4 linked regions of the Drosophila melanogaster genome follow. The protein of the gene in region 3 interacts with the protein of the main gene of each other region in a pairwise test. Each region holds a gene or a part of one and is shown on either strand. Other genes may lie near its edges.

Region 1 (4,510 bases), on a different chromosome or scaffold from region 3:
AACAAGATTTCCAACACCTTTTTGGCAGGACCTTAGATGCTCCTTGTGCAGAGCAAAAAAAAAAAAAAACCCGCACAAACACAAAGCAGACAAGGAGCCGTTAAGAAAAAATCATTGCACCGGGCGGACGGGTGAACGGACAACAACAATGCACCAAGGAAACCCAGAGGATATCGCATCTGCGCCTGCGGGCAGGCAGGAGCATTTTGAAATCAGGAATCAGCACAAATCGGTGCTGGAAATAATGTCAACTCGAGGGTGGCGCGTTGGTGGCTTGGCATTGACAGCTGCAGCTCAGCCCAGGATTCTTCTCCTTTGGCGCGTCTTCGTCTTGGGCCATCGGCTTGGGTTTTTCGTTTTCAGCTCTTGGGTTTTGGTTTTTGGCAAGATGTGCATCTGTTTGCCCTCAGCCCAAAAAATCGAGACTTGATTCGGACGTTGACTTGCATCTGCGGGCGTACAATGCTGAGTGCAGAGATGGGGAATTTGGCGAGTACACCAGGCAAAAAAGTATGGCAAAATTGCAAACAATTCTAGTTAATAAAAATGTTTGCATATCTAAGTATAGTATTTTTCTACAAATTGTAGTGTTAAGTAGTATTACTACTCCCATATATTATACACACGGAATAGGACACTTTAAAATGAGCTTAGCTAGGCTTATTAAATTTCTAGAAGATTTCTTAAGCTAAGATTTCAAATTCATTATACTTTTTTTTAAGTCAGTCGGTTCTACGAATTTTATTTTGTACTTAAAGCAAATACTGGTTTCTTAGAGTGCATTAAACTACCGCATTTATGATCGACATCGGAATACGAGTAATCACAGTCAGGGCACAGGACACAACAATAGTGCACCATTCGAGATTTTTCAGCATTTCTTTTTTTTTTTTGGCGGCAGGCCCGGGGTCCTACCTGAGTCACATCCTTTGTCGACTCAGGCCTGCCCTTTGATTTTGAATTTTTGAATTTCATTGCCCGGCTGGAGGCTGTCGGAATTTGAATTGGACTGCTGGGGTAATGCAACCGCAATTGTTTCGCCCCCTTTGTTCTGGCTGGCGTTTTGGCATGTGCAGGGATTCTCTTCGAGCGGGCAAATGAGTTCCGTTCTGGATTCCCTTTGTAGTGGGTTATGCAGATGCATATTCCTTAAGATATAACAAAATGTTGCATCACAGCTGCCCAAACACTGGCCTCTAACGGAGCATTCGGAGATCGGAAGATGGAAAACGGAACCGTTTTAGAGATCATATCTGTTCGATATTATAATTTTTGAGTTTTTACTGTTTACATAATCATTATTGTTTTAAAAAACATTGCCACAATAGATTACCAAACCTGCATTTCTGTAGCGTACATTGTGGAGCTCGATTTACAGTTGTAGAATGCTGTTCTTAAAATTTTGAATATGGTTTTAAATTGTTCTGTATCCAAAGACAACTGCAGTTTTTTTAATTTCACATAATACGTTGGTATTTTAACAACAAATAATGTTAATAAAATTACTAAATGGGCTAGTAGGCCAATTCCATTTGGCCTGTGACTTCCCAGAAAACTGTAAGGCTCGAATCTCCGGAATTCGTGGGAAACCCATGGTCGGATCGCGTCCTAGAACGGAATGGCCAATCCTTTCGCATAATGTGCCCACATTAACACCACATCGATCTAATCCCATCTAAATCATTTATAAGCGACAACAATTACCGTGGAAATGAAGATTTCATTGGAAATCCCGCAGCAGTGGCAAACAATATGCCCAGTATTTACATTTACAAATTATATATAATGTCTTATCCTGCAGCCATTTCCCGTCAAATGATCCCCGATAACCTTCTCGGGAGTGAGAGCAATCAATCGAGTGCAACACGTTCTAACGATTTACATGTCAAGTTGACGAGATTTGTCCTGTTGAACAATGGACTGGCGCTTCGTGTGTGTCCAGGTGTCCCCTCATACTTAAATGCCTGCCCATCGATTTCGGTTTCGATCGGGGTTTCGCTTTCATTTGTCACTGCTGTCTGACACCTTGTTATGCGGAGATATCCATCGAGGGCCCGAATGCGAAGACTTCCCCCTTTTTCGAGCTAAGCAAACACAGTTGCGGCAGTTTCAAAATTTCGATTATGCTCGCGTGATAATTATGCATGCAATCGTAAGCTTCCCTCCTGAAGTAGTTTGACATACGCAGTATAAAATAGTATTGGGTCTGGAGTTCTGGTTTGGTTCGGCTTGGCTTTATCGGTCGACGACAATCGGTCTCATTGTTTCCGTTTCCCACCGTCTGGCTTTGCCTTTGTACGAATTGCGTCTTTCGAATGGCCCCATCCCCATCCCAATCCGAATCCCAATCCCCCGTCCCCTCCCCATTCTCGAGCCGAAGTTGTCCAGCTGCGGCAGTAAATTTTATGGTTAACTACGGTCCGACATTTGTGCTATTTAACCTTTTTGTGCCATTGAGCTTCGGGGCAAAAGATCCCCGATCCACGTGCGACTCTGTTTGCTCTGACTCTGGTTCATATGCTAATGGGTGTCTGGTGGGGGCACAAACAAAACCAAGTACTTCTTACTTACAACCTGTAGTTTGAAATTTGAGTTCCTGGACATGTTCTCCATGATTTTAAATCTACTAGGTATGTAGCAAGCTTAGTCGCACAATTCACAACAAACTCTGGAATTGACAGACACAAAACTCATAATTTCCTTATACATATCGAGCGACGCCAAGTCACATATAACTCATTTGTAGAAAATAAGCAGAAGGCTTGAAATTTAGCAAATTCAGTTTTTAATTTCGGCCAGTGATAGGAAATCCTGCCAGTGGAAAAGTGCAAAGATGGAGGAGTATTCGCGGGAACCGTGTCCCCATCGCATCGTCGACGACTGCGGAGGAGCCTTTATCATGGGCTGCGTTGGAGGCGGGCTCTTCCAGGGACTCAAGGGATTCCGGAACGCACCACAGGGACTAGGACGCAGGGTCGCCGGCAGTGTGGCTGCCATCAAGACCAAATCTCCGGTGATAGGTGGAAGTTTCGCCGCCTGGGGTGCAGTGTTCAGCATTGTGGACTGCAGTCTGGTCCACTTTCGCCAAAAGGAGGATCCCTGGAACTCGATAGTGAGCGGAGCAGTTACTGGTGGAATTCTGGCCTCACGCAATGGAGCGGCGGCCATGGCTGGAAGTGCAATTATCGGTGGCGTACTGCTCTCAATGATCGAGGGCTTAGGCATATTTTTTACACGTTTCGCGGCGGAACAGTTCCGAAATCGTGAACCGCATATCATGCCTGATGCCAATGAAGGATACGGTGACTTCAACTCTTCCGGATTTGGATTTCCGGGTGCTCAGCAGGCCACTGCAACTAGCTAAATTCCGATTTTTCTTGTCTGGGTATATTAATACGTAGTCCTTTTTGATTTTCATAAGTGCTAGATTTAGCAATATTCCATTTGAAAAATTCGATGACAATAAAATATGGACAAAATTGCAGTATTTCCATTTAAGCTGTTTTTGCAAAGGAACCAATTTATTAAATTTCAAACAATTTAACACGGATTTATAATTATTAAAATACAATTAGCTGCCGTTTGCAGCTCGTTTTGGAAGAAGGAACAAATGCAATTGGCCCTCTTATCGTTCTCCGTGTTAATTCATTCGTATTCATAATCATTATTGCCTCAACAGGTAGTAGGTTGTTTCACACTTGCCCGAATCCACGACAAAGACACCTGACACGTGTCATAGGTCAGCGTGAGATATTGGCAAATGTTTACCTGTTCCAGATGACTACCTGCGATGCTGCGCCGGCGCATAGAGTCAAGTGTCCGGTCGGCGGGTGTGGCCACTTTACAACCTGTCCACTCGAGATGACCGCGGTGTTCTGGCCATTAGACTGAGTGAGGTACTGAGTGGCACTGGCTACCGGCCACATGTCCTGCTCCTAGCTGGAAAGTCTCGAGCGCACTCAAATCAGAACTTTTCCCCCGCAAGGCAAAAAACCAAAGGCAACGCCGATTTCCCAGCAACACATGGACGGTGGGAAGATGGGAAGTCGAGCCCAGTTATAAAATCGTGGGAAAACGCCGCCTACAAGGAAATCCCTTTTCGGCCGACATGGAAATTTCTTGAATAAATGGCCCAAAGAACATATGTAACTTTGGCTCGTGTGTTTTTTTTCCGCGAGCGCCGACTACTCGTAATGTGTGCGAGATTCCTCGCCTTGAGGAATTCCGCAACAAAACATTTGGACACGCCTGGCGCTACGGGAAAAGCACAGCAACATCATCATGTGGCCCGGCCAGGATGTGTGGGAACTGGAGAACTGGGGAATCCAAGGAGTCGCACCTACGCGCATAGTACGTGCTCCGGTCCGGCCAGCTCACACATGTGTAACCAGTACCGCCAGTCCTGTTTGTTTTCCCAGCTCCGCAGTTGGAGTTCCGACATATGTGAGCGGGCCAGGAGAACTCCCTCATGGGAAAACGGAGAGCCCAGCGAAGTCGAAGGTAGGACCAA
Region 2 (4,128 bases), 1.2 Mb from region 3:
CACATGCATTTATATTGTCAATTATGCTCTACGCTTTTCCACGGTGGCGGCATTTTCCGATCCGACGACTACGACGTGTGGCACAGTTCGTTAAACTCTCGAAATGCCACTTGTTGCTGCCACGAAAAGGGTGCAGCTCTTTTATGGATTTTTTTATTTTGCATTTTTGTATTCCTATACCCCCACTATTTAGTTATTCGACTTAATCACGTCTTCACCTAAATGGTAAAAGCAATTCGGAGTGCCCCTGACACGCTTGGCTGTTGTGTAATGGCTTAGTTGGCCCCGTTGGCTGATTTTTCGCTAGTTTGGCGAAGGGTTTTTCCGAGCCGGAAACTCACCTTAGCGGCACTATAAGCCGTGGCAATCAGGCAGCTCATCAAGAGGCACACAGCGGCGATTTTGTGACTCATCTTCAGGCTTCTCGTTCTTCAGAATTTCTTATAAATGCAGTTATATAGCCAGCACGTAACGAACGGCGGTCGTGTTGTTAGCGGTTCGGTGGCTGAGCGCGAACTGTTGATTGTTGTAGAGAGCTTGACGCTTAAACCGCCGTTCCAGTTCCAGTCGGCCATTAGAAAGCCGATTTCCAGACTGCCCAACCATGAGTAAATAAATGTACTATCTTTTTTATCATCAACTATGTATTATCTTCTTGAAATTTATTTCTATTTTCAAACTATTGTCCGCCATTAAAAAAAAAATTACACAAATTAACTTCAAATGGCTATTAATCGGTTTATATTGGATCTTTTGAGTATCACAACATTCAGCTTCGCAATTATAACTCCTTCCAGTATTTTGCAGAAGAGAAAATTAAAGTTTTGAAACAGTATATTTTTTTCTCTTTCGCATTGTAATTAAGAGAATTTTAAAAAAATTGATTTATTGGAAATAGATAGCCAAAGCATGGATTTGCAATATATGGTTCGCACTTACGAGTTTTCCATATACCATGTTCATTAAGTAAAAATATGTTTTCCGTAAAGAATATTATTAATCTCTTTAAACGTATTTTACCTCATATACTTTTTTAGTTTTCTTATATTTTTTATTTTGAGTAATTCACAGGGGAGCTAAGCCAATTAAACATAAACATATTCCATACTTTTTCAAGCATATCCTTTCAAAACCTCAACATAATTTGGCCACCAAACTTCCGACACCTGGGGAAATCAGCCCCCAACAACGCGTCCGCCCACACAAAATGCGGTCTAGAGTAAATTTGCGTAATTTTTGTTTTTATAAATAATGGAATTACAGATTAACATGCACAAGTCCTACGAGCTGGAAGTCTCCTAATCTCGAAACCGAAATCCCTTGGCTATCAAATCCTTGCGAGCCTCCTGAATTTCATCCTGCAGCTCCTTGGCGGCCTCGGGACAATCGTTAAAAGTCAGAGTTCTATATAGAACAGTCCAAACGGAATATATCTGTGGGTAATATATAGTAGTAGTCAATAAGAGGTGTTATCTGCATTGATTCATATCCAAAAACTCACTCCAAAAATCACGAGGAGCAAAAGTGGTAAAAGCTGAATGTGCAGGAAATACTTGGTAGTTAGTGGCGTTTGCACTGTTCCCAAAACAACGGAGAGATAGGGAATCGCAAAGAGCGATGCGTAAAATAGCCAGCGTTGTAGATTTGTCATAGCTAACGAAATTTATTGGTAAACAAAACTAAACCGAAAATAAAGTTCTACACGTAAACATAGAGCTGGAACTTAAGCCGATGGTCACCCGGTAATTCGATATCGATATTTACCGGCTACTATCGATAGGAGGTTTACCTATTCAAATCTAGTTAGAGGTTTTCCTATTCATGTCTAGTTGGAGATTTTCTAATTAGTAATTCGTAGCCTGACGGCTTCCAGTTAGACATTGTTTACTTTTCTAATTGGCTAACTTAAGTGTGACCAAGCCCTAAGCACGTGCCATAGCACAAAGCTATCCACAGTCAGCAAATCAAATGCCATACTACTCAGCTAAACACAGTCAGCAATTTATCGATAGATCAAAGTTGCGCCATAACAGCCAGCCTTCTACAGCCAGCAATTTAAATCAGAGTAATCGATTGACGCAGTTTCAAACTTGTTAAAACTAAGTTTTAATTAAACGTTGGTGGGCGTGGTTTCTGCGGCGCCCACTGTACACGGCGTGTTGGCAAGCAGGTCAGCGGTTCGGCAGCCAATTATTTGGAACTTGACCTCGTTCGCGGGCAAGTCGCCGCCAACAAAGAGTTTCGGCTGGCTGCTCAAGGCCCACAGCTCCTCCTCTCCCTTGGAATTCCTGTTGATCTTGAGGCCCGTGACGAACTTGATCTTGTGCGGATTGTAGGCCACCACACGCAGGTCATCCGCCGTGTAGTTGGACACGGACTCCTCCCATTTCACCAGCGCCCCTAAACTGATGAGGCTGCAGTAGAGATTCCCCGACTGATCCATCACCTCCGATTCGCACTGGATTCCTCGGGTGCCCAGGCTGTGGAAGCTATCCCTGCTGGCATTCGCAGACTTCCAGAAGGTCTCGTTGTTGATCAGGGAGAGCGGAACCCTCATCTCATTAAAGGAGTTCAGCGTGTGAAAGTACAGAAAGCGGTCTGTAAATTTGCATTGGAAATTATAAATAATTTTTGAGTATTTAGAATTTAAATTGAATAGCTACCTTCCACTTCGCTGGGACTGAGGCTCACTGTAAATATTCCCGCCTGCGAGTTGCTGGAGCGTCCTAATCTCAGCAAGGGCGACGGCTTCATGGACTCATGCTCTATGCGCCAGGATCGTCCCGTCAGGGAGTCAAACACGATTAGACCATAACCCCAGGCATCGGCTATATACGCTCTGCCGCCAACACATCGGTTGGGTGTGCCCCTCTCGGCCAGATCCACCACCAAAGCCGTGAAGATGGATACGCTGGGAATGTAGGAATCGGGCGGAAGTGCGTGTCGTTGGACTAGTTCGTCCTTCACCAAATCAAATGTGAGAATTTGTGGCGGGCACAACTGCAGGGAGTTTACCTGCCCTGAATCCACCACCCAGAGTCGCCAGCACTCGTCGATCTGGGAGAAAACGATAAATATTCATGAAATATCTTCTGTTGGGAAAATATGCTTTATTACTTACATAAGTCCTAATGGCTGAGGTGATGCCGGAGCAATTGTTGGGTGGCACGTGCCACTCCTCGTTGGGATACGGTTCCAGTCTGGGATTCTCCACCAGCTCATTGTGCTCCGCAATGACGGTGGCCAGTGTGAAGGGTGTGGCCATCCCCAGTCGCGGAATCGTGAGAAAGGTGCGATGCCTGCCCTCATCGCCGTACTCAATGTCCACATCCACCGGCAGAAAGCGATTGCCCTTGGACAGATCGTCGCCCAAACTGAGGTTCGTCCACTGATGCAGGGTGTGCAGCTCCTTGAGGACCAATGCCTGGCCCTGGACTGCACAAAATAATGCGAGCAGGACGACCAACATGGCTATCAAATGAGAACCTGCTAAGTGACAGTTCCGCGCGGTTCAAACGATTGCCGAAGACTAAAGATGTGCAGGTAGGCCCTAAAGTTCTTAGCCTTCAATCTCAAAGTGCACTCAGAGAAACTTAAGCTATGTGGTAATAGAACAAATGTTGCAATACATTTAAGTCCTATCATTGCTAAATCCAAAGATAAGAATCTTTATTTAATGATTTATTACTTATAATTTTATAAATGCGAATGAATGTAAAAATTTAACACGACCTCAGCACTTATTAAGTGAAAAGAATAAGAAAGCTGATAAAGAGTGTTTGGCATTTTGGTATTTATTTTTGCGAGTGTAACATGGACCATCAAACCCAAAGACAAAGGTCGTGTACCTGTGGCGGTCAAGCAAACACTTTCGAATCGTCCCAAGATTTATAGATGGACATCTTTTATGTCGGCTTTAAAAGTATTTACACAGATCTCGAGGGTGTCTGGGCATTAGGAATTGGGCACCTAAAAGCAGCCCCGCCCCTGCAACAGGTCATCAACATCGCACCGCATCACCCGATAATTGATTTCCCTGTAGTCAATGGTTCCGGCGAATATCTTCTGCAGTCGATCGGAGAGCAGCCACAGTTCCTCCCGTCCATCAGCAGGTCTGCGGACAATCTT
Region 3 (4,298 bases):
CAACATCGGAACAGTTTTATAACCTACTTCACCGGCTTGTACCTGAAACCCAAGAGAACCTTTTCCATCGGATCATGTTTTAATGTAACCAAATGTACACAAATCCTCCCAGATAGTAAAGGTAAGGCTCTCTTCTGTACGCTACCTGAGGTCGCAAGAATATGGTTCCCCCCTAAGGGTATCTATAATTAAGTCCAGTATATAACATATGTATAACATTTAAGATAAGAGTTAAACTGTATGTAGGTCTAAGGTAAAACCTTCTACCAGGTGTGGTCCAGTTCGTCCTCACCCGGGAACTTGATCTTGATGTTGGTGCCGTTCTCCTTTAGCCATGCGCGACTCCAGATCTGCACAGTGCCCTGTTTTATCTCGGATCCATTGTCCAGCTGCACCTCGTAGGTGTTGAGTCTTCCAGCTACGACCTGACCCGTCACAGAGGTTACATTAAGTGCCCTTCAATTGGAGTAAAATCAATTAATAAGTGGCAAGCTCTAGACCGAGTTTAGCCTTAACTCACTTGTAGCTGGGTCCATCTCCGTTGGCCAACTGTGCGAGGGTGGCATCGAGGAGTTCCAGAGCCTCCTTCCTCTCATTCCCCTCCAGCTGACTGATCCCGCCTACAATTGGAACGTTGGACATGGCGGCGATAGTAGCAAAACTCAACAAAACCAAAACCAAAACATGAAATGATATCACTCTGTTCCGTTCCGATTGTGAGTCAGCTTCTGGAGCTTTTGTTGGAGTGAAAGCTTCTATGGTTGTTATCTCAATAAATATATAGTATCTTATATATGTATATGTATAGTATGTGTGTAATTGCCTAGCGATGGGAATTGGTTAGCACGGAACGTAAACAAAGCAAATCAAGTATTTATACACTCCTATTATTTTTCCCAACAATATATTGGATACTTTGCAACAATAGTTCCCCGAAAATTAATCAAAAATCATTTTTTAAATCACGTGTATCTTGTTTTTTTTTTTATTATTATTTCTTTCAGGGCAATTCTCACGAAGAATCTTCTACCAGGTGCGGTCCAGTTCGCCATCGTCACCAGAGCACTTGATCTTGATGTTGGTGCCGTTCTCCTTGAGCCATGGCTGAGTCCAGATCTTCACGGTGCACTGCTTTTTGTCGGATCCATTGTCAAGTTCCACCTCGTAGGTGTTAAGACTTCCAGCTACGACCTGACCCGTCACAGAGGTCACATTGATTGCCCTAAGATCAGCAGATCAATTAGTATGAATTTTAAATTCGGAACTCAGTTCTAACTCACTTGTAGCTGGGACCATCTCCGGTGGCCAACTGTGCGAGAGTGGCATCCAGAAGTTCCAGAGCCTCCTTCCTGCTGTTTCCCTCCAACTGGCTGACACCGCCTACCACCTGCTCATCGGCTGCTTGGGTGGCAATCAAGCTGACGAGAACCAGACCCAAAATACACAAAGATTTTACTACGTTCATGTTGCTCGCTCGACGACTCTGAGAGAACTGATGAACACCCGGCGATGTGGCCCATTTTATACCTGCCATCTCAGTGGGAGATCAACAATGGAAAAATACAATAGGCTCTCTATGCCATCGATCCAAGACTTGACTGGCCCATCATCAGAACTATCAATAACCAGAACCTCACTCGGGGTTTACAATATTTAAGAAAATTGCTTAGAAAGGCAAAATAAGTGAAAAAATAGTTTTAAGATTCGAAATATTTTTTTTTAGAACATAAACTACGGTATCTACGTGTCCTGATATTTTCGCAGCTACTATCCAAATATTTATAGTCAATATTCAAATATTTATAGTCAATATTCAAAGGTGCGCCCCCTTTAAATAAGAATCTATTTCCATGATTAATAAATATGCATATGCAAATGAAATCGTTTACTTATATTCTAATACGGCTCATTGGCGGTAATTAATTGATTTATCAGATGGGCGAAAGCCGCTTTTCTGTGAGAATCGTTTTGATCTCTACTTCAGTTAGCAGTTGCGGCTTTAATTGAAAATCTGTGCAAATGAGCCGAAAACAAGTCACCGTACACCACATATGAAAACATATAATCATGGCTTCAAATTACACACAGACTTCCGGTATGCTCTTATCAGTGTTTCTATGAGTATGTACTACAAAGGTCAGTCGATATGTATTAAGACCCACATGTGCAAGTTTATAAACATTTAACCAATTATAAAAAGTATATTACATGCCACTATCGCAGTTTCCAAGAAAATTTAAGATTTCTAGGAGAGATTTCAAACATCAGAAAAGGTTACATGAGCCCATCTTATCAATCAGATTCAATCTATACGTGATAGCAAAATTTAAGGTAATGAAAAACCATTTAATGATGTATTTATTCCAGCATACCAATTCTTCAAAACAAAAGCTGAGGTACAAACTTAAAAGCCTTACGAACTATTCTCTCTATAATAGGTTTAGGTTCCATATTTTAAATAACGCATAAATCAACGATATTTTTCGATGCACGATACCTTGAGGTAATTTACTCCGATTTTGTTTGTATATAAGGATAAGATGTTTCAAAAATACAAGGCTCCGGGCGAGTGGTTTAGGTAGCTTCCATTTAAATGTGAATGTGCACATGTTCCAGCAGCTGGGTGCGATCATAAAAGATGGCCGAGCACATTTCGCACTCGAAACTGCGAGTTTTCCGCTCCGATTTACCAGCTGCCGCCGCTTTAGCAGCCGCATCCGCGGCGTCAGCTGCGGAAACGACCTCCGAGATGGAAAAGAATCCGCTGCCCACATCGCCGTTGTTGGCACTGGCAGGTACGTTTACATTGTAGGAATCCACCCCGTACGAGAGGTACGAGGATGAGCTGCTGCTGCTCACCTTGGTGGCAGTGTTCGATTTTTTGGCCACCACTCCCGGGGATGCCGACGTCTTGCTGGCTACGCCACCTGTTGTTCTCTTGCTGCCTGCCCGTGCACCATTGGCAGTGATTTGTCGCAGATGTCTGGAAGTTCTAGCAGATGAAGAGGACGAAGGAGTGCTGCCGCTATGAGCGATGACTCTTTGCTGACCCTCCAACATTTCCCGCAGATCCGGAGAAGTTGGTTCAATTTTTATAAGGTTTTGCTCCTCTTCGTGCAAATATTGTGGCGTGGTGGATGACTCGCTGGTAAAGCGAAGACGAGAATTTCTCTCGTGCTTCAGTGGAGAGCGGAGGATCTCCTCCAGATCATTAACAATGCTCGGATTAAACTTCTCATAAGTCTTCTCCCTGAGCAGAGCAGCATCTATCAGTAGGTTATCATCGTACATAAGTTGAACACGCTGTTGTTGTTCCTGCTCCTGTTTGATGTGCAAGGGACTGGAGCTGATCTGATTTGGCGGATGAGTAGCTGGAGAAATGATTTCATAGTCATCCACCATATTTGAGGCACTGCTGCGGGATTTGTCGAGGCTCAGATTGTGCGACTCCGTGCGACTTATATAGGTCTTCGAGCGCGTTTTCTTTGCCGAACTACTAGTGGAGTCTCCGCCAACTCCTTTTGTCACCTTGGCTTTCTCTGTGTGAATCATTCGAGGTCGCGAATTACTGGCAGGAGGTGCTTTGCTGGCTGTTTTAGTGGTTGCTGCCCTCTTGCGGCTCCGAGTGCTGGCAGTGGAGGTGGAGGCGGAGAATGTAGTGTCAGATGTGGTAGCTGAGCTATTCAAATTTTCGGCTCCTTCTACAGACTTCGCCTGAACTTTTCCCTGCTGCTTCGATCCACCTCTTGTGTTGGGTATGTTAGCAGACACAGCGGAGCTAGCAGGCTGCAAATGAGTGTCGTTGACCACTACCAGCGAATCGATCTGAAACAGAGCCACTTGACTGTCGTGCAGGAACTTTTCCTCCCAAAGGCGATCCGATTGCTGACTGCTGGTGGAATCATATCTTGGCTTAGCTTTGCCCTTATCTTGGGCAGGTTTTGCCGCTTTCCCATTGGTCACGGGTTTGGCATCAGCTTTTGTGGCTGCCGAGCCCCTCTTTCGCTTTTCTTTTTTGGGTGATTCGGCCATGTCGAAGATATCGTCCACGTTCTCCACATCAAAGTCGCAGAAATCGATGTCACTGGCACACTCCTCTGCATCGCCTTCTCCTATGGCCTCTTCCTCATCACCGTTGACATGCTTGTTCGCCGCCCGCATGTGAGCGATCTCGTGAGGCTGTAGCTTACGGCGACGCTTGTACTTGCGCGGTCCCGTCTAAAAAACAATTCAATTCTTTTAATTTATCAAGTCTCTCGAAACAAAGGATTTTACTTACAACGGGCTGTCGCTGCTTA
Region 4 (7,751 bases), on a different chromosome or scaffold from region 3:
GTGAATCAAAATCAGAAGGAAGTTCTCTACGAGAACGCAGTGGTCATGTGGTGGTGCGGCCAAACGGGATAGCATATAAAACTGGTGTAGTCGAGTAAATAATACAAAATCCGTCTTTATTCTTGAATCCATTTGGAAATACTAAAGCATCATGACCGGGTCCATACTGGTTGCCTTCACCTGCAAAGGATTTGCGAGAGTAAGTTGGCGTCGACTCAATGGCGATGGCTGTTAGGTGGAACACTTACCTAGAACCGTTTGAGGAACTCCTCGGCGCAGGTGCGTGCCCTGGCATTGACCGCCAGTTTCATTTCGCTGATCTCCTTGTCGATCTCCTCCATGAAGCTAATGACAAAGTCCACCAGTTTGTGCTTATACATCTGCTCCGTGTGGAAGTTGGTGATGAGGAAGCTTATGTCGTAGCCCTCGATGGGCTTGCGGCGCAGTATGACGAACGACTCGGCGCGTCGCATCATGAACCTGGTGAACTTGTGGCACAGTATGCGCTCAATCTCGTCGGCCTGCTTCACGGCGATGCTCACGCGCACCGAGTTAATGGACGGCTCGATCAGCACCTTCTCCCGCTCGTTGCGCGACACGACGACGGGCGTGAGCACCAGCTCCTTGCTGGAACAGATCTCCACCTCCGGCTTGTTGTGCCGCTCCACCACCTGCGAGGGGAAGTCCTGCAGGCACATCGCCGCCGTCAGCGAGTGTCGCACGGCGGTCAGGTAGGGCTTCAATGTGGCTGCCATTGTGTCTGGGTGTCGGGTTGTTGTCTGCTGCCTGCGGTTTGTTGTATCTGCACTTTTTACTTAACTTATTATGATTCACAGGCCCTGGAATTTATCAACCAGAAAAGATGTGACCATGCGCGGCTGGCAGGAAAATACCAATGCCGAGGTGGGGCCGCAAAAACATAGCAACTATTTGGAATTTGTTATGAAACAGTTTCTATTATATGTTTGGGAAGACTATGCATAAAGTTTATACAATCAATATTAAACATGTTGTTTTTAAACATTTATCAAATCGCACTTAAAACATTTCTTATGATGTCCTGTGTTAAGATGGTAAGAAACTTGACTATCAAGAACTTACCCGAGACCACAACCACTGTTCCATTTCCATTTGTATCTTATCTTTGTGGAATTTTTAGGAGTGAAACAATTTAAATCATACCTAAATTTTAAAAATTTAAGAAAAATGTATATGGCTAGAAGCGTTAAAATTTGAAATGGAAATATCAAATATATGTGTACCATATTAAAGTCCGAAAACCCAACACACCAGCAAAGAGGAAAAATGTTAATTTAGAAGAAAACAGCATCCACCAATTATAAATATTGCATTTATTTGTTTAATGCACTTTTATTATACAATTGTTATAAGTATTTTTGCTCGCATATGGTCAGTTATTTGTGGCTTATATGAACTTAAATTATGCGTGAACCTAGAAAGTGAGTATTTTAATCAATCGTTCAAAATTGTAACCCTTTCCTACTCTCAATACTCAAAAAATGTTTCGGCTGATTATTGCATTGGATTAGACATTAATATATCATAAATTGAGTAAATATCAAAGCATTTTATGCTTTGCGTTTATATTTTGTTCGTTTTTTCTTGAGTATGCTTGAAAGTTTTCGTGTCTGGGTAATTTGGTGTCCTGTGCGTGTTAAATTGTTTTGCCAATGCACATTTTTATTAAGAGATTTATGTTATTGATATTCATTTGTAGAAGCCATAGGTTTACACGAGTACACATACATATATAACGATATAAGATTTAAATTTAAGCTAATCTTTAAAGCGCCCTTTGGTGCAAAATTAAAAATAACTCGCAGGTTTTTGGAAAAAATTTTCCTAAATATTCCATTTGGTTTGCCCTAAATACTTTTTTTTTTTTTTATTATAACCCCCACATTCACTCTCCTCTTAAACCCATTTCTAAAAATAACCCGACGTTAGACAAAATATGCATTTCCATATAATATTACACACATTAATGTATGCTTATACGTAGTTTCCTTCCATTTATATTAATGTCTATATCAGCGTTTTTAGTGTTTGTGTTGTATGTAAATAAAGGAAAAATGCGTTTCGTGTGTTTTACATGGTATTTGATTTTATTGAATTGTATAAGCATTTCTTATGTATTTTTTCTGTTAGACATTTATTTTATAGATAGAAAATGCGAAACTTATAAGAACAAATTATTTGTTAGTGTAAAACTATATTCAGCATGTATATGTATCATGTTGTTGCAAGTTAGTAAATTAAAATTACCACTAAAGTATACATTAACTTAATTAAAAACATTTTCAAATTTTTACTCGCGAAAGCCATTCATAGATGCAAATACAGCGTGCTTATTATTTTGAGAATACCTCAGTCGATGCCACAGTAATTAAAAAAAAAAAAAAACTTGAACATTCAAGACTAAGACTTTGAAAATAATGAATCCAAAACGAATATAACATTCTTGGAACTCAAGGTAAAAAGTGTTTTAAACTTTCAACTGAAATCAACGTGAACTTTTAAAAGAATTTGAAATTTTAAATGACAGGCATGCATTCAACTTGCATAGGCTTTTCTGCCTGGGCTTTTAAGTTTAAATGTAGATTTCCTTTACTAATTTTTTTTTTGCATTAACTTGCCGTAAGCATTCATTTCTTTTCGCTTTATAGTAGCTTATTCGTGTTTCATTATAGAGCTCGTGAGAAAACTCGCTCAGCGGTATCTTGAGACTTTGCCCTTGCCCTTCGCTTCGTTTGCTTTCATAATACTTGGAAATTTTGAGAAATCGTTTTCAGTTTTAAGGGTTTTCTTGCTTAAATATGTGTTGGTGTATTATGCAGTGTTGCTGTTCTTTTTGTAGTCGCCTTGTAACCATGTTTGCAGTGGGTGAGCACAGCTCTCGATGCAGGATCGTTCTCCACTTAGCCTGAGGAGGCAATGGCGCTCTGCTGACCATCCAAATCCTGGGCCTGGGCCTTGTTCTGGCGCACGAGCTCAGCGCGACGTTCCTGAAAGAAAGGAAAGCAATCAAGGATTAATATTCGTTTGCGAATGGAGATGTGCAACTACTGCCAAGTGCTACTCAAACAATAGGGCAAATTGTCGCTTTCAGTGGGGGGGAACAACACGTACGAGTTTTTGAACTTTTTCAATTTTTTTTTGCAATTCCTTTTCGCGTTTCTGCTCGGCGGCGAACAATTTGTTCTCATAAATGCGCGCTTTCTCCTCGATCTTTTGACATTCCAATTGATCGTTCTGCGATTTGATTTCGGCAATTTTGATTGTGTTCTAAATGAGAGGATATAAGAGAAATGAAAAACCAAAATTATATGAACGCATGATAACTTATTTATAGTTCGTACACTCAATGACTAACTAAATGTTAACCAGTTTGCTAGTCCAGTCAAAATGATGTGTCATTTCAATTTTATATTCCAGCAATGAATGTAAGTTAATGTAATGTTTATAAAGTAATTGTTGAGACTTATGGGATCTTGGGTATTGAATATTATAATTACATACATCTAATCATAAACTAGATTTAATGAAAACTTTTGGCCATGCTATAGACTCACATGCTCCTTTAGGCGATCCAACATTTTCTTGATATTCTCATCGCGAAGAGACTGAGCAATCTTCAACTTTTCCTCGATTGCCTTCTGCTCGTTGGCCTTCTGCTGCTCAAGAGTCTCACGCGTCTTTTCGATATCCTGGGCATGGATCTTTCGTTAAACGGAAGAAAATACTTGGTTAGTTGGGAATATACTATGGGATGCAATAGGTTTGGTAGCCTACCTTTAGCTTCTCCTTCATGTCACTGATGATGGCCTCTCGCTTCTCCACATGCAGCTCCATTTTCGACTCCAGCTGCTCCTTGGTCTGAGTAATAAACTCATTGGTGATCTCATCCTTTTTGCGAGTCGCCTCCTCGACTTTAGCCAGCTTAGTGGAGATGTCAGCCATCTTCTTGGCTTCTAGAGACTGGGGAAACAAGATTTCACTTGCTTTACAACAACTTTAATTCTTTAATTTATGTACTTACAATGCGACGTTCCTCGGCCGCCTTAAGTTTCTGCTCAATCTCCTCGACGCTAACGTTCTTGCCAGGGGTGACCGGTCGTTTTGGAACGGCCACATTGGGTGCCGGTTCGGCCAGGATGACCTCATAGCTCAATCCCCCGCGGGACTTCTCCTGGCAGCGAATCTCTGTGGCTGTGGAGGAGGAAGGAAAGCAAAGGGAGACTTATAGTAATTCAATATTTTTGCACTTGGGGTGCATCGAATAGTTGCGGTTAAGGGTGAACCTCGTGGTTCAACCCTCGACTTGGCTTTCCCCCCATCAAAACAACATGACGTCATTTTTACACTTCCACCCCCTTAAAAACTAAACTTAAATGTTGTTCTTTTGGCCAATAAGTTAAACAATACGAATTTAGTGTTACATCGAAATATAATCACCTAAAATCGATATCTTGACATTCTCATTATCTAACTTGTAGACAAATCCATCAAATGGAATGCTGGACAACCAACGAAGCGAAAAATGATTTGTCAAAACAAAAATATGTATATGTATACAATCATTGAACAAGAGGGATAACGATACTTGAAGATGTTGCCACGACAGCCGACAGTGGACACCTTTTATATGTATCCATAACCATATTTTGACACATAATTTGCTATTATTATGGAGTGTCAATGGTGACAAAAGCTTTTAGGCAATCACAATGAGTGTGCATAGATTGTTTACCCAAAATGTTGCCATATCTCACCAATTCTGTTCTCCAAATCTTCCTGCCTCATCCTTTCCAGCATGACCGTCAACGCTGACGCATCCGCGGGATTCGAGTGCATCTCGGACAAGTGCAACTGCAACTCCTCGGCGCTAAATCTCTTCTTACAAAAAACGCAATTGTAGCTTTTTGAAGCATCGCCGTTTAGCAGCTTCTCGCCGCTGAAGAATTTGTCAAGAAAGGACCGATGGTAGATAATCTTAATGCGGCGGTCGTCCTTGTGCGTCTCAGTGTGCTGATTTCGGCCCTCATCAAAACACTGGCCGCAGTACATTACCTCAGATCCGCACTCACTGCAACCGTACCGTCGGTCAAAGTCAGCGCGAATTTGCCCGCAACCCTTACATTTGGTCGGTAAAGCAGAGAAATTGCAACCCATTTTAAATGATATGATCAAATGACTGATCGAAGTTCAATTTGGCGTCGTTACTGGGTTTATCGAAAAATGTTTAATGCTTTATTTATATTTTGTTCTCAGATGTCGGAGAAATGTTTTGCAATAACAAATAGAGACAACTGTAGACCGGAATAAAATGGAAAAGCGCTGCCTACTAGATGTGCAAATAAGATTTTGTAAATCATCTTCCACTAGCCAGAGAAATATCCGAGAAAAGCTTCCTATGAAATGGAAAAACCTGAGGAAACATCCAGATCGTTTGGTCATTTTCTTTTAGAAATGTTTATTTCAAAATACTACATATGCATATGTAATTATGAAAATACCGAGGCTTATTTCCTACAAATGCTGGGTGCCCCGCCTATTCGTCCTGGATGACCATATCTATGAAGTCGGTGATTTGAGAAATGGCTGACTCAGAGAAATCGGAATCCGAAGCTCCATCGTCCTCATCACCGTTTTCTTCCTCGCCGCTTTCCTTGTCCTCCTCCAATCCGGCTAAATCATCGCTGTTTCCTTCGCCATGCAAATCGCTGGCCATTTCTTCTGATGCATTACTTTCCAAATCATCCGATCCGGAATCCGCATATGGGATATCGCCCAAAACTGTGAAATAAGCCGAGCTGGTGGAAGCGGATGGGAGTTCAGTTGCCTTGCTTTCGGCAGTTGGTTCGGTCTGATAACCAATCCAAGTTTTGTACTCGGCGAGACCCCTGTAGAAGCGTTCCATCAATTCCTTGGTCTTAACAGGATACAGCAATAGTTTCCCATTTGATTTTACACTGCCTGATGGCTCGACTGCGTCCAACATGAAATTCGCAGTCCAGGGCAGTCCAATTGGCGGCTGGAACAGCTCTTCGTCTGCCAACATCGAACAGAACATTGCCTCGGTAAAGGTAGCTTTGAGCAATTTGCTTTCCCACTTTTGGCCATTTCCGCTCACCAATTTCGAGCACAAAAAGCGCTTATCCTTGAGTGGGGAAGTAATGACAGTTGACACCTTCTTGGTGGGCTGATCTCCTTGCGTCTTCGTTTGTGCCTTGGCTACCCCAGAGCTGGACCCCGCTTTTCCGCTCCTAGAAGACGAAGCCACCGCCGATTGAAGGGCTATCCCGATAGGCTCTCCAGTACGCCTAGCCGTCTGCCTGCGCACCATTGTTGTCGGCTGGTCAACCAAAACGGGCATGGCAGCACGCATACCCATAGCTAACGCTGTATTAGTACCAGGAGAGATTGCCTCAATGCGGGTCAGCCGATGTAGTGAGGATGATGAGGCGCCCAGACGCTGACGACGATCGGCCATGCTAGTCACAACCTGATCTTCGATGACGCGCACAAAAGACTCAATCGCCTCCATGTCCGGCACTCTGGAACTTCTGTGCTGCATAAGCACAGTTTCAGTCTGCTGCAGTATCTCATAGCAGCGTTCAGGAAAGTCGGCGGCAGTTGAATCCATATTGTCCAGCTGCACAACCATTAGGGCCAGGCTTAATGCGGAATCAAATACCTGCTCGGTCCGCTGTTCGCTTCGCGTGTTGCCACCGGCTACCGGTCGAACGCTTGCTAAATTGCGAGAACGAGTCGAGCGCGTTTGGCTAGAAGGTTGCGGTACTGGCACCTGTTGCTCCATTCCGTTGTCCGCTATATAGAGAGTATTGACCAACGACAAGTAGGCATCGTGGTCACGGTGGTCGCGATGCTCCTGCAGCAGGTGCATGAACAAATGGGCGGTAGAAAGGCCGCGAACATCGCACAGGGCACATTTGTAGCTCTGGGCCACTTTGTGATCACCGCAGAATGGCTCGCCGCCGAAGTACAGCTGGTACTCGGCATAGGCATAGTACACACTCATCGGATGGTAGTAGCGATGCTGAGGCGATGCCGGCAGATGGTTGGCATCGAAGCACTTGCCGCACAAAGTGTATTCCGCGCAGAACCTGCAGGTGTAGCGGCGGCCCTGGAAATCGGATATCTTGCAGTTCTCGCAGCGGTGGCCAAAGTGGCGCTCCGGCGGATTGCGCATCTGGTGGGCCATGGGTGCTTGAAGTGATTCTGGCAATGGAATTCGTGCACGGATGATATTATATACGAATTGTGCGCAGAGAATCGTCGTTGGTGAAGACTCAAAAGTTTGCTGAATTTTGTTTATGATATTAGAGAACCCTATTTAAAATTGAAATGTGAGCGGCCTCGCCAGTGTTTTTTATTCGTTTCAACAACTTACTCTTTTCACAACTTTTCACTTTCAACTGATGAACACCTTTACTCGACAAGAAAAATTATTTGACTAAACTTCTATTGAATATCGAACAAAAAAGTGAGACTGAAAGCTAAACTCCAAAAGGCGCTGCCAACTCGATTCTATCAACAATTGTGAAAATCCCGAAAAAATAGGAGCACGTGCACGACGAGAAGTTTCTATGACGGAGTATATTTCTGTGGCCTTATAAATTACTTACAATTACAATGTACAATTAAGTAGCTATAGAAACAACATGTTTTTGCATAATTTGTAATCTTATGATATCAACGCATAACCC

The links.
Region 1: the proteins of Cys (region 3) and Tim17b2 interact in a two-hybrid assay, tested with the Drosophila melanogaster proteins (one large-scale study listed by BioGRID).
Region 2: the proteins of Cys (region 3) and Dpm3 interact in a two-hybrid assay, tested with the Drosophila melanogaster proteins (one large-scale study listed by BioGRID).
Region 4: the proteins of Cys (region 3) and stai interact in a two-hybrid assay, tested with the Drosophila melanogaster proteins (one large-scale study listed by BioGRID).

What each region holds. Positions count from the first base shown.
Region 1 is NT_033779.5:15,482,004-15,486,513, forward strand, and holds Tim17b2 (translocase inner membrane 17), read left to right. Parts: upstream 1-2,725; 5' UTR 2,726-2,833; coding exon 2,834-3,364; 3' UTR 3,365-3,542; downstream 3,543-4,510.
Region 2 is NT_033777.3:13,401,338-13,405,465, forward strand, and holds Dpm3 (Dolichyl-phosphate mannosyltransferase subunit 3), read right to left. Parts: upstream 1,715-4,128; 5' UTR 1,652-1,714; coding exon 1,502-1,651; intron 1,434-1,501; coding exon 1,299-1,433; 3' UTR 1,222-1,298; downstream 1-1,221. Other genes in the region: GILT1 (Gamma-interferon-inducible lysosomal thiol reductase 1), read right to left, coding at 342-413; yellow-e3, read right to left, coding at 2,111-2,598, 2,664-3,057, 3,122-3,469; yellow-e2, read right to left, coding at 3,970-4,128.
Region 3 is NT_033777.3:14,568,144-14,572,441, forward strand, and holds Cys (Cystatin-like), read right to left. Parts: upstream 1,502-4,298; 5' UTR 1,466-1,501; coding exon 1,281-1,465; exon of another isoform or gene 1,223-1,280; coding exon 1,027-1,222; 3' UTR 960-1,026; downstream 1-959. Other genes in the region: CG8066 (uncharacterized protein), read right to left, coding at 264-456, 521-642; CG7987 (uncharacterized protein), read right to left, coding at 2,590-4,218, 4,280-4,298.
Region 4 is NT_033779.5:6,118,253-6,126,003, reverse strand, and holds stai (stathmin), read right to left. Parts: upstream 5,331-7,751; 5' UTR 5,194-5,330; coding exon 4,794-5,193; intron 4,231-4,793; coding exon 4,061-4,230; intron 4,000-4,060; coding exon 3,814-3,999; intron 3,741-3,813; coding exon 3,594-3,740; intron 3,307-3,593; coding exon 3,151-3,306; intron 3,027-3,150; coding exon 2,940-3,026; 3' UTR 1,351-2,939; downstream 1-1,350. Other genes in the region: WDR79 (WD repeat domain 79), read left to right, coding at 1-72; Arpc4 (Actin-related protein 2/3 complex, subunit 4), read right to left, coding at 249-755; CG31642 (uncharacterized protein), read right to left, coding at 5,573-7,246.